Linked DNA regions of Cricetulus griseus. The protein of the gene in region 2 purifies or fractionates together with the protein of the main gene of each other region. This does not show direct contact. Links are inferred from orthologs where the notes say so. Each region holds a gene or a part of one and is shown on either strand. Other genes may lie near its edges.

Region 1 (4,484 bases), about 150 Mb from region 2:
AGAGAAAGAAATCATGTTTACCATATTTCACCTTACTAGGCACAAGCCCTAAAAGGGGACTGGAAAGAAACCTGGGAGAGTTAGCTATTCATGATAACTCTTACTTAGCACAAAGCTGAAAATTTCAGTGATAATATTAATAAAATTGACTTTTCCTGTTTCCTGAAAAATCTGTAGCAGAATTCAAAGATTTATGATATCACTGAGTTTGCAAAATTAGTTAGAGCCTAATCCTATTTTGCCATCTTGTAATATCAAGCTTATTTATTAACTGTGTCCTATGGCCAAGATACTTTATGCAAGAACCAGATACTTAATTCAAATATCCTAAAATGTTAAAGTACCATATGCACTCAGGTTCCTCATAAATTTGTGTTTAATGCACCAGGCAAAAATGTGAGGCCCGAAAAGCTGTGTATAAAAATTCATTCCTCCATGTTAACAGTAGCCTAGGAGCCTGCCTCTATGGAAACCAAACAGTTCTAAACCAAGTAATTACTGATTTGTATTCCTAATTGTGTTCCCACTTCTTACTTTTATTTTGACTGAAGTAACAGAAAACCTGCTAACACCATTGTATAGATGGCAGGAGTAAGTCTTGATAAGCTGCCTAATGCATACTTTCAACTCACTTTAAGGCAAGAAGGTTTGAAATCAATGCTTGTGTTAGGACAGTTGTACTCTGAACTTTCACTCCACATTAAGTAAATAACAACATTTGCTTAAGCAATAAGGAAATCCATCTCCACCCACAAGTGTGGTAACTCCTGTCACACCTGTCTATCTGGAGTCCCTAGGAGTCACTCACCTGCACAGATCTGAACGTAGTAATGAAAGGCAACATGATATGATAGCCTGGTCCACTGGGGCTAGTTAGTAAGGCTCCGCCCCTGCAAAAAGATGTCGTGGTTGACAAAACTGCAAGTAAGAGAAATTCTCTTCCCAATTCTAAAATGCTATAGTAAACATTCACTGTTACTCATGTTACTAACCTAATGGCCTTACAACAGAGTTACTCAAGATTAACAACTGCTACTTAAAACATCCATCACACTTAAAAATGTGAAAATACATCAAAGTCAACTGCCAATATTGCACCTTGTTTCATAAGCTCCACCAACCACACCACTGGGTCTCTAGCACTGCTCTTGGGCCCACATCCTCTCCGGTAGGTCTTTAGCTTTCTGACAAATACTTATGGAAAAACTCTAATGACTCTCAATTAAGGTATCTTAATTGCACATAACAAGAGGCCAAGTCAAAACAATACATCTAATCACTAAGTTTTAAAAAAGAGGAAAGCAAATTTTCAAAGGAGGAAAATTTCTGAGGCTAATGACTCTTTTAATACATCATTAAAATCCTAGGACAGAGCTTCTGTCTGTATAAAGGAAACAAAAAAAAAAAAGCATGGAAAGATGGATGGCAAGAGGATTCAGAGTATAGGTGAGACACACATTTGTTCATCAGATTCTGGACCATGTGGACTTTGAAAACACCCCCTGGAAATGATGAAGAATAGGTGTTTAGGGACAAATACATCAAAAAAGCCCTATTTTATTCAATGAATAGTAAATTCACACATTGATCCTTGCCCTGAATGTACAAACAGGTTTGAAAGTCATAATTAAAAAGATAAACTGTTTCAGGTTCATCACTTATTTTGGGGGGAGTAATATCTTCATATATTCTCTTTGTGGTTCCCCTGTTGGAAGGAAAATGACAAGCTGGACAGAAATGTGGTCCAGGCTGGCACTTCTTATGCTAGAATTCCATCTGTTAAGACATACCACCAAAATCGTACTTTTTCTAGGACTCAGGAGGGATCTAAAAGTAGAAATACCAGTGTGTGTGGGGGGGGGGGGAGTGATGGAAATAAGCAGAAATCTGCTTTTTCTAAACAAACTCCTATCCCGATTTGTCCATACCAAAAGGAGCAGGTGGTAGTTCATACCGAAGAAAAGCTATGCCGAGTAAACCAGGCGGCAACACTGACCACACTCTTCCTCAGCTTGACTTGGAAAAAAGGGGGAAAGGTGGCCTATAAATGTGATTTTTGTCTCTTTTGACTTTAGGGACACACCAGTGTCATGTTCATTAAGATTTTGGGAGACATAACCAGATATACTGGGAGATTTTTAATGAAGGAAACAAAAAAAAAAAAAAAAAAAAAAGCCTTGAAGTCCAAAGCTACACAGAGAAATCCTGTCTCGAAAAGCAAAAAACAAAACAAAACAAAATAAAAAAACAACTTGAAGAAGGACCAGAGATCCCGAAAAGCATCATCTACAGTGGCAAAGCAAACACCTGTACAGTTGTTCGGACTACGAGTTAGAATTCAAGTCATCTAGGTTGCAGTGACAACTTCCTTCCCTCCTTAGGAGTCTCCAGCTCTGCACAGAACCAACTTGGCCCTAAGCTGCCCGGCACCCGAAGGTGCCCGGCCACAGGTGACTTGTGCCAGCAGCTGGGACGAAAGCCCTTCCGAGGGCTGCAGCGCTCGCTGCCCCGGGACCACCGGCGCGTGCGCGGCCGCCTCGGGGCGCTCGCTCGCTCGCTCACCTGTAGTACACGGCCAGGTGTCCCTCCTCGATCCTGTGGATGGCGGCGTAGAGGAGGACCACCACCAGCGCCGCCACCGCGGCCACCAGAACCCGGGCTTGAGTCATGTTCATCCTTGTCCCTCCTGGGCATGGGAAGCACAGGAGCCTCAGTGCCCTGAGTGACAGGCCGGTCCCCACCCTGCGAAGAGCCCGCGTCCGGTCGCGGGCTGAGGCGGGAAGCCCCGCGCGCCGGCCCCTGGCTCGCCCCTCGCCAGCCCCCGCGCCGCCGCCGCCGGCGGCCCCGGCTCGGCGCACGTCGTGACACCCCTGCCCCGGCTCCCCCGGCGGAGGACGGCTTCAACAGGGGACGGCCCTGGCCTCGGGCACCCGGGGAACCGCGACCCCTCAGCCGCGCCTCACCGGTCAGTGACGCATCGCCCCCGGCCGCACGTGCAGCCGCCTCCCGGCCCCGCCAACTGCTGCCAACAGCCGGCCCCGCCCACCTTCCCGGCACTGCGGCTGCGCGCGCGGGGACGCACGCGACGCAGCCCCCGCCCGCGACTCGCGAGACGGTGAGCGGGCGGGACAAAATTGGCCTAGGCGCACCCAGCGCGGTGCTTCCCAAAGCCTTAGTCGCGGGCGGTTGAAGTCGCTTGGCTGGCGTTGACCCCTGGGACCGGGGCTAGTGCTGGCGCTCCGGTCCCGAGGACTCAGCCCCTCAGAGTAGGGGTTGTCCCTTCATCCTTGTACGGTCTGTATCTAGCCTAACTGGCAAGGGACGCGCGTTCTTCAGCTGCACATCCCATCCTGCACTAAGGAAGCTGCCAGACCAGACTCGAGGAACGAGGGGTGTGCGTCCAGCGGAGGAATCTGTGTATTTAATCACTCAAGCTTGGGTTGAGTATTTTGTGCTACACCAGAGTGTTTTCTGAAGGCCACCCAGAAACAGGAACAGGAACAGAGTGGAGATCCGGATTGTCTTGTCAGGAGGCCAACGTGAACAGTGAAGGCTTGTTTTTCCGCGAAGGAAAAACGGTGGAGAGTATGGTAGGCTAGGCTAGAACCAGATTAAAGTCTGGGGTGCTCTTTTCTGCTGATAGAAGAACTGGATGGCAAGGAGATGGACTTTTTATTTGCTTGGGTGTTTTGCCTACATGCATGTCATCCCGTGTGCCTGGTGCCCTCAGCAGTCAGAAGAGGGCATCGGATCCCCAGGAACTGGAGCTAGAGAACTGCCACATGGGTGCTGGGAATCGAACCAGGGTCCTCTGGACCAGCAGCCTGGGCCCTTAGCCTGAGCCGTCTATCCAGATCCCTGAAACTTTTATCTCACTGCGAATTATTAAATTTCACACCATGTGGACCTAGTGAGACGGCTCAGTGGGTAAAGGTGTTTGAGGACATGCCTGATAACTTCATTATATCCCTAGATTCTACATAGAAGTGAAAAGTGGAGACCGACTCCATGAAGTCGTTCTCTGAGCTCATCACACAACAACAGACACAATAATAATAATTTGTATATAAAGTTTAGGGAAAAAACCCCACACCATGTGTATATGAACAAAGAAAAAGAAAAAGAAAAAAAAAGGGTAGTTTAGAGATGTATGAGCACGTGGGAAATAAAGTCATCCCAGTTCATTAAGGGCAGAAATGAGACAACTGGACAAGAGTGGAAGGATTTCTGAACTCCAGTGCAGGAAAATACCAGAAAGCAGTCTCACTGAGAGTGAAGAAAGACAGGAAGCTGGGAAACAAAGAACAGCAGGCCCAAGGTTATGGTGCTAACTAACCTCACTCCAGTCAAGTCCCATCAAAATGGACCTATGGCAAATCCTTGCACTGATGATTGTTTGTTTTTTCAAGACAGGGTTTCTCTGTGTAGCTTTGGAGCCTGTCCTGAACTTGCTGGAACTCTCTGTAGACCAGGCTGAACTTCAA
Region 2 (4,429 bases):
ATTCTGTAAGAAGAAACAGAGCTGGGAGATGGTGGCGCATGCCTTTAATTCCAGTACTTGGGAGTCAGAGGCAGGTAGATCTCTGTGAGTTCGAGACCAGCATGGTCTACAAGAGCTAGTTCCAGAACAGCCTCCAAAGCTACACCGAGAAATTCTGTCTTGAAAACAAACAAAAAGAAAGAAAGAAAAAGAAAATTTGGAAAATTCACCAGCTACTTACAGAGCATACATTCAGGGATAGGCACTACCGAATGGTGGGGGGATATAATGACTAAAAAGAGTGTACCTCATGTTATTTTATGTACTTCGTATATAGCGATGTAACTCGATGTTTATAGTGTATAATTCGGTGTCTTTTAGGTGTATAACAGCAATTTTAGAACACCATCACTTCAGGAAACTAGTACCACAGTTTGTTCTTTAGCTGTCACCTCCAGTTCTCTCATGTTCCCCTTTTACTCGTCATTACTCTACATTCCATGTATTTGCCTTATCAGTGGGATCACGAAGTAGATACTTGTGTTTGGCTTACTCAGGCATGTCTTCAACGTTCTCTTATATTGTAGCATGTATCCGTACGTCATTTTCAAACACTATATTCCATTGGAGTTTTTCCCCTCTGGGTAAATTTGGTAATAATGCTACTGTCAACCTCTGTGTAGTTGTTTTTCGTGGGTGTATGTTTTCATTTCTTAGATATTTAAGCCAGGTAACTGTCGCGTCCAATGGTCACTCTTTGGTTTACCTTTGAGGAAGAGGCATTTTCCAGGATGTACCATTTACATTCTACTTGTAGCATAAGCGGGAACATATTTTTATTTCCTGTTAAACTGGCTCCGTTTTAAAAATAGTCTACTCGCAGTTATTTGTAAACAGACTTAAGACTTGGTTAAAGAAATGGTCAGGGCTTCTATTATTTCCTAAACATCGTGTTCCCCTTTAGGACACCATGGAAACTGCTAGTCCACAGGGTGGTGGGACCAAGGGTTTACCTGTTTTACCTGGGAGAACAAGGGACCAGAGGCCAGGGGCCTGCGTACCGCACCTTGCCGCCTGGGCACGCACACAGGCCTGCCGTCATTGCCCACGGGCCGGGCTCACTCTAGAGCCCGGCTGGGGCGCGTAGGCGGCGTCAGTGGGCCCAGGGTCGCCAAGGATGCTGCAGGGGGCCGGGACGCGGGGCACTAGGCCGGGTGCTGTGCCGGTAGGGCTGCGGCGCGCCCGCTGGGGGCGGGGGACGAAGGCCGCGCCCCCGCGCTCGTCCCGCCCGCGTCCCGCTAGGGGCGGCGGCCCGCCCCGATTCCGCGAGGCTCTTCCGCGCCGGCAGGGGCAGCAGCGGGAGCGGCGCGGGGCGGAGCGGCGCGAGCAGCCAGGAGCGGCCGGCCCGGCCCCGAGCGGCGGCGGCGGCAGCGACGCCAGAGCCCGTGGGCGCCGTTCGCGAGGCTGCCGCAGGCGCCTGGCCGCAGCGCGGGGAGCCCCGGGTGTCGGAGCTCGCCGCCGCCGCCATGCCGCTGCTCTTCCTCGAGCGCTTCCCGTGGCCCAGCCTCCGCACCTACACGGGCCTCAGCGGCCTGGCCTTGCTAGGCACCATCGTCAGCGCCTATCGCGCCCTCAGCCAGCCGGAGGCCGGGTCAGGCGAGCCGGAGCCGCTAACGGCCTCGCTGCAGCCCGAGGCGCTCGTGCCGCCGCGCTTGGCCGCCGGCGGTCCCCGGGCCCGCGACGTGGCCCAGTACCTGCTGTCGGACAGCCTGTTCGTGTGGGTGAGCGAGGCTGCGGGCCGGGCGCGGGGGCGGGCGGGAGAGCGAGCGGGGAAGCGGGGGGCCGCCATGTCACCCTTTATCTGCGGGGGGCGTGGCCCGGCCCTGACCCGGCTGAGGAGGCCGTGCGGCTGACCCTCGCGGGGGGCTGGAGGCCGAGAGGCGCTGCGAGCACGGCGAGCCGCGGAGGGATGGGGTCGAGCCGCCCGGAAGAAGGGCCGAGGGAAGGGCGGTCGGGCCGGGGACTCCAAGACAGCGGGGCGCGACCGGAGGCTGTGAGGAGCCGGGGCAAGTCGCGTCCAGCTCGGCGATGTTGTGGGCCGGTTCTCCATGAAGAAAGGGCCGAGAGTTTGGGGGACATTTTAAGCATTTGAACGGGTTGGGACAGTTATTCTCTGAACAAGACAACTTTGAAATGTTGCTATTTGGTAATGGATTACCCTCCTGTGGGCGCTATTTAACGAAGCAAACAAACCAGCTGCGTCCTTTTTTTTCTTATACCTGATGGTTGGTGACTGTTCCCTTTGATGACCGAAGGCAGCAAAACATTCTGTTCCGTGTGGCAGCGCCTCCTTGGAACGCGTTCTCTCCGTTTACGATCCATTTTAAAACAAGGTTTCTAGTTTTTCTGCCCGTGCGTGATTAGCAACGTTCACACGACACAAGTACTGTCTTCGTTTATTACATCATTTCAGGCTGGGCGGCTGCGAGAAAATGTTGGTTTCACCTTGCACTTGAATGCCTCTTCTATAAACCCTCAGAAAAAAGAAAAGTTGCTCCAGGATTTATAATTTGTCACTTGGATTTACTATGGCTTTTGGGATTCTTATCTCCTCCGTGTTCTTGTTTGGCGTTTACAGTAGGCTGTAAATGACTGAGGGGTTAATAGTCTACGTTTGTAGAATATATGCAACTCATTTGTTATAATTATTCCCACTGTGCTTCATCAGGAAGCAGTGGGATTTGTGAACTCCGGGGGCTGTAGATTAAGCCTCCTGGTCCTTTGATGAATAGTTTAATAGAAGACACTGAAGGGTGAGGTTCACATTTCCCTACTCCTGTGTAAAGATGAACTTGTCTTTACCAAAGATGGGGGGAAAGAATTCAGTTCACATCTTGTTTAATTTCAAATCTTTTTGCATTTGAGTCAAAGGGTAAACAATTTAGAAAAATTTGACGAATGCTTTTGACAAAAGTGAAGGCTATAGTGTAGTCCTTGATGCAGTTTTTAAGTCTGAGAAAAGCAGGACTTTGAAAGGAACCACTATTGAACCCATAGAACAGCCAATAGTATTGTTTAATGATTTTTTTTTTCCGTAAAAAAGTTTCTTCTTGCAAAACCCACGTTCAAATTCCAAGGTTAATACCACTTCATGAAACATTACCTAAGGCCTTTGGTTTTTCTGAGAATCGTTTTTAAGAATTTTTTTTTTCTTCGTACAGTCTTGTTGCATGCAAATTGATCAATTGATCGTCCCACCTCTCCCCCCAGAAGCCCTTATTTCTCACTTGAATTTCATGCAGTTTTTCTTCCATCTCTTCTGGAGTTTGGGCATGCTCATTTTGGTCGTACTGTGGTTGCCCAGTGCACTGAATTTTCTTTATCACCTAGTACTAACTTAGTGCTTTAGCAGTTTGCTTCAGCACTTCCCCCCCCCAAACCCCCACCTCCCCACCCCCGTGGTGTGACAGGTAACTACTGAGTGACTGTGTGGTGGGCCTTGAGCCCCACTCACAGGTATTTATATATTACCCCCCCCATAAAAACAAAAATGAAACACTGCCAAAGTCAAGCTAGATAGACAAGAAGTGGCCCTTTGTCAGTTGCAAATCTTACTAGTTATATTGTTTATTAGGCTCTCCAGAACTTGTCTTTGCAGAACACAGTTTAGAATTACAGAAAGTTTTGTATTAGCACACTCCGTTCAGACCTTCCAGAGATGCTATTCCCAACACTCTGGAAGACACAGCTGTGAAGAGCACTATCCCCCAACCCTCAAATGACTCATATGTAAATAAGGCAAAATATGATAGGTGATGATAGATACACAAAACCCAGTGGGGTTTGGAGGTAGGAGAAAGGAATGCTGTGTGGGGAAGGATTGACAGCAGGTGGTGTGGACACAGCCTTGGGAGAGTGAACTGGGGAAAACAGTATGTAAGGCTCAGTGTTGTTTGGGGAGCAGTGACCCCTGTCTTGGGCAACTTTTGTGACTTAAAAGGGAGACTGAGAGGGTGGGAAGGAGAGGTAACAGGAGGTAACCCTGCTGTGAGAAAGGTGAGAAACCTTTGAAGCTCTTACTGCTCCAGCTGTGGAGCCCAGGCTAACTTGTAGCTGATTTTAGCCATCTTTGGTTTGTCACTCCTCTGCCTTATTCGGTGAGAAAAGTAGGTGGAATCTCTGGTCAGGTCAGTTCTAAACTTAAAAATTTAAAGGACAGATTCTACAAGTTCATATTTCAAAGGCCAAAGGAAACAAAAGTGATAGCAGTTTCCCATTGCCAGCTTCTTGTGCTGACCTGAAGTGGGAACCTCTGAAAAATCCAGATGGTCTCAAGTCGTTTACACTGTTCATTTCTATGAATTATACATGTATACATGTGAACATATTCTTTCTGCTTCACACCTGCCTTTTTTTCCTCTCTCTGTGATCTGGGTGCTCCTTTGAACTT

Evidence for each region.
Region 1: the proteins of Amfr (region 2) and Erlin1 purify together in Homo sapiens (affinity purification with mass spectrometry; 3 studies listed by BioGRID and IntAct, with this or other methods). This does not show direct contact. The link is inferred for Cricetulus griseus from reciprocal best matches to the Homo sapiens genes AMFR and ERLIN1.

Annotation. Positions count from the first base shown.
Region 1 is NC_048596.1:17,483,107-17,487,590, reverse strand, and holds the start of Erlin1 (erlin-1), read right to left. Parts: upstream 3,063-4,484; 5' UTR 2,964-3,062; intron 2,942-2,963; exon of another isoform or gene 2,695-2,941; coding exon of another isoform or gene 2,676-2,694; coding exon 2,563-2,675; intron 891-2,562; coding exon 809-890; intron 1-808. UniProt on the Homo sapiens protein: Component of the ERLIN1/ERLIN2 complex which mediates the endoplasmic reticulum-associated degradation (ERAD) of inositol 1,4,5-trisphosphate receptors (IP3Rs).
Region 2 is NC_048596.1:170,203,948-170,208,376, reverse strand, and holds the start of Amfr (E3 ubiquitin-protein ligase AMFR), read left to right. Parts: upstream 1-1,381; 5' UTR 1,382-1,505; coding exon 1,506-1,760; intron 1,761-4,429. UniProt on the Homo sapiens protein: E3 ubiquitin-protein ligase that mediates the polyubiquitination of lysine and cysteine residues on target proteins, such as CD3D, CYP3A4, CFTR, INSIG1, SOAT2/ACAT2 and APOB for proteasomal degradation.